2 linked regions of the Schizosaccharomyces pombe genome follow. The main gene of each other region encodes a partner of the protein of the gene in region 2 in a complex. Each region holds a gene or a part of one and is shown on either strand. Other genes may lie near its edges.

Region 1 (4,676 bases), on a different chromosome or scaffold from region 2:
AACGTTCCTTGGAGCGCAAAAATATGTCTACTCCTAGTCAATGCTCTTCTTGTTTTGAACAATACTGCTGGAATGGAACAACCGTGAACAACCCTAGTGCCGTTTCAAACTATGCTCCTACTGTGTTATCTGCATCAACCACTTCTGGTACCTCTTCTGTACGAGCCAAACCTATAGTATTTTATTTATTTGCTTCGCTTCTAACAGTTTCGTTACTATTATAGACGACGAAAGCCTCCCCCACTCACACACCTTGGTATGAGTCACTTTTCGACTTGAAAGAATTAAAAAGCATAGACTGAGTCAGGCTTTTATTTATTAATTGTAAGGTATTAATCACTACCAAACTTGTGGGGTTCAAAGGTTTTGTAGTTTTAGTGTTAGTGTTAGTGAATTCATTTTAAGTTTTCGAAGCACAATGTTTCTTTTCTCTAATGAAGATGTTTAGTTTAGTTAATTTAGGAAGATCGCTTTTATTTTTAAATATACAGACAATTAATTTTAATAATGATTGTGCAATTTTATAGATATCAAAGCTGTTTTGAATTATAAACCGTCAAAAAAGTCAGTTCCTAAAGGCTTTTTCCCTTGATTTCCCACCTTTTTCTTTTTCTTAGGACTCGAGAATTCAGAGTCGCTGCTGGAATCTTCATCACTATCTAAATTATCAGAGGAGGATGACTCATCTCCTTCCTTCTGATCAACCGGCCAGAAAGCTAGTTCGGTTCCACTACAGGAAACTAAAAAATTGCCTTCGGTAGTAACATCCACAGCGTCTACGGTTGATCGCGAAGAGTGTTGCCCTATAATTCTTTCGTATTTGTTTGGAAGAATGTGTAACAAACGTATACATCCGTCGCTTCCGCCAACATACAGACTGTCAGAATCAGCACGAGTTATTGTTTCTATTGAAAAATCATGGGACCGAATTGGCGATAAAATGCGATCGGTATGATCCCCCCAATCACCCTTTGTAAATAAAGTTATAACTCCACTGGCAGTACCAACAGCAAATTTCTTTTTTGAATGCTGATCCCGTGTAAAAGCTCCACAGGTCATTTCTTCGTCTTGTTCTTCACTCAATATTGGTTTTTTGAAATTACGAGCATCGATTACTGACAAAACTCCATCACCACTAGTAGCAACGAAGTATCGTTCTTCAAATGGGCTAATAGAAGATATATAGTCAATATGATCATTATGGGTATGGATAATGCCTCCCTCGGTGCGCTTATCCCAAACAGAAACACAACCATTATCATCACCTGTAGCAAAGACCATATCATTCTCAATCCATTGAACCACACTATAAGGAGAAATCTCCTTATTCTTATCCACTATCCATTTTGAACTCACTCTCCCCGTTGAGGTATCGGCGATTTTTAAAACACCATCTGAACCTACAGAAATGAATTCGGTACCTGATTCATTTACTGAAATATTTCTGCAGCTTTTTTTATGTCTTTTGGTACTCCATTGCTCGACCAAACTTATTTGTGCGACATCATATTGATAGCTACTAACTCTGCCGTTTGAAAAACCCAGTAACACTTGATTTTCACCGAAACAAGCTAAGTCGAATATTTCATTTTCAAATTTTTGTTTTATAGCAGCATTTATTGTTCCACCCATTAGGTTGTTTAGGACAAGTAGGCTGTGATTAGAGCTGGGCAATCCACCTCTCAGCACCCATTGCCCTGTAGCAAATTTGCATACCCTAGAATCGCGAATACTATTACACTACCAACTTGATATTGTTTTGGAAAATTTACATAAAGCATATAAAATTTTATTTGTACGAACTTCTTGAACTCATTTAAATAATTCAATAGTATTTTTTACTTGGGGATTCTTTATTCAAAGACTTTATTCGAAATCGTTAAACTACGAATTCTTTTAGAAAGTTAGACATGGAAAAATGGACGAAGGAGAACGTACTGAAAATTTTGCCAGTCGACGATGAGAGTGCCGCAATGATAACAAGCACTGCTTTAGCAGTCGATTCTTCCGAAGCCGCAAAAGATTATTGGATTTCTTTACTGGGGGATTCTGCTGAGACTATAGAATTCATTAGTGACTTCAATCAAAAAAGATTTCACTCTACGCATTCTGGTAATTCTCCATCGATCATGAAAAACAAGAAGAATGTGACACCAAATAATAATATTCGGCAAAAAAATACTGCCACATCTTCTCATCCAAGTTTCTATATCGCTAACAATAAGCAAAAAGGATATGATGAAGAAATGTATAAAGTCAATCCTGCTTCGAGGAATAAATCACAATCAAACAATATTTCATCACATGAAAAATCTAGCAAAACTACGAAAAATGTCTCTCCAGGCGTAATGACTTCTGACCTTATTCCGGAAAAGAAAAGTGTAAAACATAATAACTCTTCTTCTAACAGAATTGAAGGTCTCGCCGACATCGAAAAAGCTATACGTCAAATAGAGATATCTCAAAATATAAATAAAGCAGAAAGAAGAGTCTGCAATTGTCAAGGACGTAAGCATCCGCTTAATGAGGCGGCTCCCAATTGTTTGAATTGTGGAAAAATAATTTGCATTGTTGAGGGGATTGGGCCTTGGTAAGTAATATTACTACTATATCTTATTAACAAGTTTTTACTAATCTTAATTAGCACCTTTTGTGATAATCCTGTCATTAGCAAAGCTCAACAGTTGGAATTAATTCAAGAGTTGAAGCATGAGGGAAGCCGCTTAAAGCAAGCTGCCAATCAAAAACGAAAAAGCAAAACCGTTTCTAGTAAAAATAATTTTCAAAGGTTGCAAAATTCCTCCTTGCATTCAATTTTTCTCGATCCTAAACAACTAGAGCAAAAAGCTCAGGAGGCTGAAGAAAGAAAAAATGTCTTATTAAATTTTGATAGAACCTCTGCTCAACGAACTCGTATTATCGACGAAGCTGCTGATTTTGATCCTACTTCGCTAGCTTCTGATACTTGGGCATCTCCAGCTGAGAAAGCTTTAAATCTTGTTAGAATGCAAAAGGCCATGGCTAAAAAGGAAAAGAAAAAAAAGAAGGTATTGTCGATTAGTCTTTCAGGAAAAAAAGTTGTAGTCGATCAAAAGGAAGCATCTTCTGAAAGTTCTGATGAAGATCAGGATGAACTTGACAATTTAACTAAAGTTGAGGGCCAATCTCATAGTCATAACCCGAAGGCTCCTGTTATTAGAAATTTGCCTAGGCCTATTTACCATCAAGACCTACACTCTAGTCATGTCGCCGTGCCTGAATCTATTCTTAATAAAATAAATCAGAAGTGGTCTAAAGTTCAGGATGATGATGGCATGCCATCGATGTTATAAGTATGTTTATGTTAAAGTTACAAATATTTAATGTATGCTTTTATGAGATTCAGTTTTTTTAAATATACATATATGCATTTTGGTAAAGTGCGTATCATTTTAATATTATTAACAAGATTACGTTAATTAGAATATGTCTTAACAATTTTAACAAAACTATCTGTCGATATTTTCAAAAATTTGATTTTAAATTAAGGAGAAGGAGGTACATATTTGGGTGAATCTCCTTCTTCATCATCCCAACCACCTGGTGTGGGAGCAGCCCACGCACCAGGTGTAGGAGCAGTATAGGGCTTTGAATTATCTTCGGTATCCCAGTTAGTTTCACTGAATCCCCCGTATGCAGGGGTTTGTCCCCATGAGGTGTTAGTGCCATTAGCAACCATAGGTGTCTGATTAGCATTCCAAGCTGGAGTCTTAGTACCATTGTTCCAGGACGGAGTTTTATTACCAGCATTCCATGCAGGCGTTTTAGCACCACTATTCCAAGCAGGGGTTTTGTTGCCAACATTCCATGCAGGAGTTTTATTTCCGGAATTCCAAGCAGGTGTTCTACTGCCAGCATTCCAAGCAGGAGTTTTATTCCCAGAGTTCCACGCTGGGGTGCGACTTCCAGAATTCCACGCAGGTGTCTTTGAACCAGAATTCCACGCAGGTGTGCGACTTCCAGTATTCCAAGCTGGAGTGCGTGAACCATTTGCAACAGCAGGCGTACGGGCTCCTTGGGCCCAGTTTGGTACATTTGGTCCATCAGCGGTGCTGATACTACCAGGTCTTATTCCTCTAGAACGCTCAATAAATTCGGTATAGCTAATCAATTCACCAGTCTTAGTAGTATATAGCAGGTTTTCTTTAGGAATTGTAACCATTTTGTTTCCCGTATGTAACTCAACACGTGCATTTGCATCAGTAGTATCCTTAATAACGCCAAGTAATCCTTTCATAGGACCTCTGCGGATGCGTACAGTAGCGCCAATAGCTTTGTCACGTCCAATCGTTCTTTTCAAGTTAGCAACCGGAGGCAAAGCCGGCCCATTGGATAAAGCTGGATTCATTTTCGTCAAATCTGCTGAAATACGGGCACCCTTTGCCGCAATTGTTGCTACGTTACGACTGCGAGCGGAAAATACACCATTATTCTCTGCGATATCTCTGTTATGCAAGAAAACAAAAGCTCTGTATATGTGCAAGATCGTTCCCTGCTTTCCCTCTCCTCCAACCTCTTTTACTTTGTCGCCAATCCGAATTTCAGCCCCATTTCTATCTGTAGCCACACCTCGGCGATTGGAATGGCGCATGGTAATTTGAGAAGCAAGAACCGTTCTAACCCCTCCATTCTGATCA
Region 2 (4,392 bases):
GAAGTCTAATGAGTTAGTGACTGAACGTAAGAATAGTCCTATCGTGTCACTTACACCATAAAGAAATAAAAATCATTAGGCAACTAGCACACCACACTGCAAAATATACCCATTCATCTTTGCCATAATCTTTAAAGAGAGCGTCCTTATACGTTAGATAACAAACTGCGGGTACGTTTAGCACAAAGATTGAAATGAATGATAAAAATGCTTTTTTCAACGGAGAGGTAGAAGAATTATCTGCCGTCCCGGAAGAATGGTTTTCTCTATGTGTAATAGAAAGACTGTCTTCACCATAATCCGGAGGAGTCGTAGACTCGTCCGTATTAAATAAGTTAGGGTTGTTAGCTCCCATTTGTTTGGGATCCTTTAAATTTATATTTTCTATATTGTTAGCAAAATTCAATGGTAACTTTAGAATATTTTTTAATGGGAAAGGAAAAAAGAGCGTGCCTGTTAGACGAATTTATACTCGTAATATGTCAAGTTGTAAACAAACAAACACAACAAAAACATTGTAAATCAAAACAAACAGACACAGCAAATAATCCTTGACACACTCAATTCTTTATCTTATCTACCAACAACACAACACTTACCTGAATATGGAGGCAATGTGCTCCCATCTTCTGAATTGTATTCTGGGAGAGGACCTTTTTCCAAATCAATTTCATTATCGTTTTTTGCACTCAATTCATCCATAGACGACCTCAAGGGATAATATTTATTCTTCATTTTCTAACGACAGTCTATTATTTAATGATATACACACAAATAGTTCAATTGTTGTGATTGCGACAAACGAAACAGCAAAATCAAGAATATTCACTCTGTAGTCCAATTCCAATCGCTTTAAAGACTTTTTAACAAAATAATAAAATTGTTCAAACAAATTTCCAACTAATTCCTTCAAACAATGGCATAAAAAAAGAAGAACGAAAAAACTGAACGAGGCAGTGGATTGCTTCTGACACATTAATTTTGTCACTGCCCTTTTTATTCACCCCAACTTAGATTTCCTTAAACGTTTTTGAGATCCTGAAATATTTTGTTACTGTATAATAGAATATGCCACTGTAAGTTAATACGCAAATGCGGGTTTACTGTGTCAGCAATACTACACGACGCTAAGATACACCACGTTGCGTATCACTATATGTCAGATGTTAAGATACTACTGAACATCCGCTATTGATACACAGATAAACTATCTGTTTATCTACATAGACAGTAACTATCAGAAAGATTATAAATAGAGCTACAACCGAACCTCGTTCCTCAGTTCAGTTATGAGCTATATCGGTGACCGATACTAACAAACTTCTTATAACAATAAATATCACATTGTTTAATTTATCATATTGCATACCGCAACATTGTAGGTCGCAACTAAAACTCACCGCAGTTCTATATATCGTTAAAACAGATATCAAACTGCGTAGCTAACAATACCAAACTGCGTGGCTGACATTTATATACACGTTAGGATGCGATGAGTCTTTTTAAGTCTCTATACTGTTTCATGTGAATGATATATTGTTAAAGGAGTACTGTTAAATGTCACATCTTATAAGCACAGTTTGTCAGCACATAATTAAACTGACTCGACTCCCTTTTTTTATTTGAAATAAATTTTTTTTAAACGATGATTTGAATATAAATTCCTTGAAGAAATGGTAAATAAGGGCATATGATGATGAATTGTACTCTTATAAACAGCCTATTGTAGTGCGGCTTAACCTCACATTGCATTGTAAGCGCTGCACCGTGTAGTTATGAATTACCGAAAATCATGGTACGTCGCTACTCAGCTGGTACTAGTACATAGAAACTACAGAGCACGAACACAGCAGTAGAAAGCGTATACGCTGCAATGTCTGAGAATGTCATATCGTCTAGCAAAAATGTAGTTTCCAAGCTGTTATATGTTAAAGACGAATATTGGCCCTCTGTTGCTCCTGCTGCTACGGAATTGATTTCAAAGTTAATAAATGCCTTCTGGTGTCAAACATTGAATGGTCAATTGGTAGAGGAAGATGAGGGAGAAAGAAATTGTATTTTTCTTTTTGACCGATGTCTCAAAACTGAAGGTTGTTTAAAGAAAATTGGTCCTGTTACTGTTATGCAGTTCCTTGCGTGCTTTCTCCTGTCTTCACAAAATCATGCATATGCTTGGTCGGTGTGCAGACAAATCCCTTCAGACGATATGGCATTCAAGTTTACAAAATGCTTTCAAAACTCTCAACAGTTTCGAGATGCCAACTTTTGTAAGCTCGTATTGGTTTGGACAGTTTGCCAGTGTGTCAGCTCGACAGTTTATTATCCCGCAATTTTGGATTTACTACCAGTGCTTTCGGATCTCGTTAAAGAGATGGAAAAAGATCCTGCTTCTTTGCAAGCTAAGGAAAACGAATTTTGGTTGAAAAAACTTATTCAAACTTCCCTCCACCATTCCTCCGATAACTCTCTAGTGTTTTATCTGGAAATGCTTTTAGACTCCTTAGATTTAAGGAATTGTATTTATGTAGTATTCGAAGACGAAGCCCTTTTTCGTCGCTTGAAAGACATTGGCAATCCGGAAATTCGCATGATGCTTGACTCAGGTCTTCGTGATTGGAGAAAACAGAGAAGCGGTCGATCTTCTTCCCACGTAGCATCAAAAGGAATTAACAAGGTTGTGAATATAAACCCCGGGGATGTTAAAAGCCTAATAGAATTATTTCCGCAGCTTTCGGTCGAAGAGGCCGTTGAACACTTATCAGCCTCGCTGGGGAATATAGATGCTGCCTGTGAATCTGTAATTACTTCCTCACTACCAGAAGAGCTTGACTCTTCAACACACTCGCCTATCTATACGAAACCTAACGTTGATTCGATGCACAAACAACCTAAAAAAGCTATAGCTCCTCTTTCTCTTAGCTCTTCAGTCACTGCAGTTATTTCAAATCGTACTAGCGATAAAAAGACAAGGAGTACAGTTGCGGAAGAGGATGATATTACTCATCTTAATATATCTCCGGATAGACTCTACCTAAATAAAAAACCCGAAGATTTAAATTTCTGGAAGAAATCTGTTCCCGAAACTGACAAGTCTCGAGTACTTAACCTTCTTGCTATGGCTGAAGACGATGAATACGATGATACTTATGATGATCTCGATACTACGGGCCCTGTGGATTCGGGTGTCGGTGATGATGATCCTGAAGCATCCTCTAAAGACGCCCACGATTTTCAGAAGTTTATTAATCAAACTTTGTATGATTTTTACCAACAAAATCCAGAGGTATTTGATCAAAAAGCCAGAAAATCAAAGGAACGCGCGGATTTGCTTGCCAAACTTGACAATTCACTTACCCACGAGCAAATAGAGGGTTGGAGAAGAATGTTTACCACTGACTCAAAGTTTGCTGAAGCTGTAAAAAAAGAGGTTACTTTTGGTTCTGGAAACACAAATATTGGTTCTTTAAGGCAAACAAAATTTAAGCAAAGTAATTACACTCCTCCGGAGTTAAACGATGGATCCAGGCAGCATCGCCCATCTCGCCCGTCTAAAAACCCTTCGTTAAAGAAGAAGAAGTATGTGCGAACCAAACCCAAAAAGGCTTCAAATGAGAAATGAATTTAAAATACTTATCCTTATAAACTTGATAATTGATTTTCTACTCTCTTTTACGTGTATTTTCTTGTACTATTTTCAAGAACTATTGAAGTTTTACCGCATTTCATAGCTTTACTTATTACGGTTTAATTTTGTATGATCAATTGTACGTGGTACCATATATCGCGAATAATGCTATTTATTTCTATTATCTAGTGCATTTTGAATAACATGGTTAATTGAATGCAAAGGCGATTTTAAGTAGTTGCAAACATACATTTTCACAAACGCGTTACGTGTGGTAGCCAGTATATAAGAACTTTACAGATTAAAGGGTTTGAATTGAAAAAATGATAAGAAACATAGATTAGTATTACCCACAGTAAGTTAAATAACTGCAGCTCGAAAACTATGCATGTGTATACGAAGCTACTTCTGTCAACACTATATACAAATAGTAGATCAACGCCTTAAATAAATCTATCCATCCCTTCAAAAGAAAAATCTTTGTTTGATACAGTAATACCAAAACAGCAGGATAAATAAAGTGAAGCATGACAAAGAAAAGGCAATGGTTTACATAGATCGTTGATAACATAGCGGCAAATGTGAATTTATTAGTTGACTTGCTTTTAATATTCAATTCCAAGTTGAGAATGAAACAACATACTGATATCTCATATATAGAACTGGGATGCACCTATAAACACAAGTAAAATGCACGAGTTCTTCCAAAGCCAGTAAAAGAAGAACAAGGCGAAGAAAGAAGGAGATAGAAAGAAAGTGATAAATCA

Evidence for each region.
Region 1: rqt3 (region 2) and rqt4 share a complex: the UniProt entries of both Schizosaccharomyces pombe proteins name them as parts of the RQT (ribosome quality control trigger) complex.

What each region holds. Positions count from the first base shown.
Region 1 is NC_003424.3:1,065,687-1,070,362, reverse strand, and holds rqt4 (transcription coactivator Rqt4), read left to right. Parts: upstream 1-1,684; 5' UTR 1,685-1,910; coding exon 1,911-2,590; intron 2,591-2,644; coding exon 2,645-3,332; 3' UTR 3,333-3,523; downstream 3,524-4,676. Other genes in the region: lysophospholipase Plb3, read left to right, coding at 1-224; wdr55 (WD repeat-containing protein), read right to left, coding at 547-1,632; DSIF transcription elongation factor complex subunit Spt5, read right to left, coding at 3,524-4,676. UniProt on the Schizosaccharomyces pombe protein: Probably functions as part of the RQC trigger (RQT) complex that activates the ribosome quality control (RQC) pathway, a pathway that degrades nascent peptide chains during problematic translation.
Region 2 is NC_003421.2:2,014,060-2,018,451, reverse strand, and holds rqt3 (CUE domain-containing protein Cue3), read left to right. Parts: upstream 1-1,854; 5' UTR 1,855-1,873; coding exon 1,874-3,619; 3' UTR 3,620-3,868; downstream 3,869-4,392. Other genes in the region: wtf meiotic drive antidote Wtf19, read right to left, coding at 1-5, 55-384, 600-735. UniProt on the Schizosaccharomyces pombe protein: Involved in activation of the ribosome quality control (RQC) pathway, a pathway that degrades nascent peptide chains during problematic translation.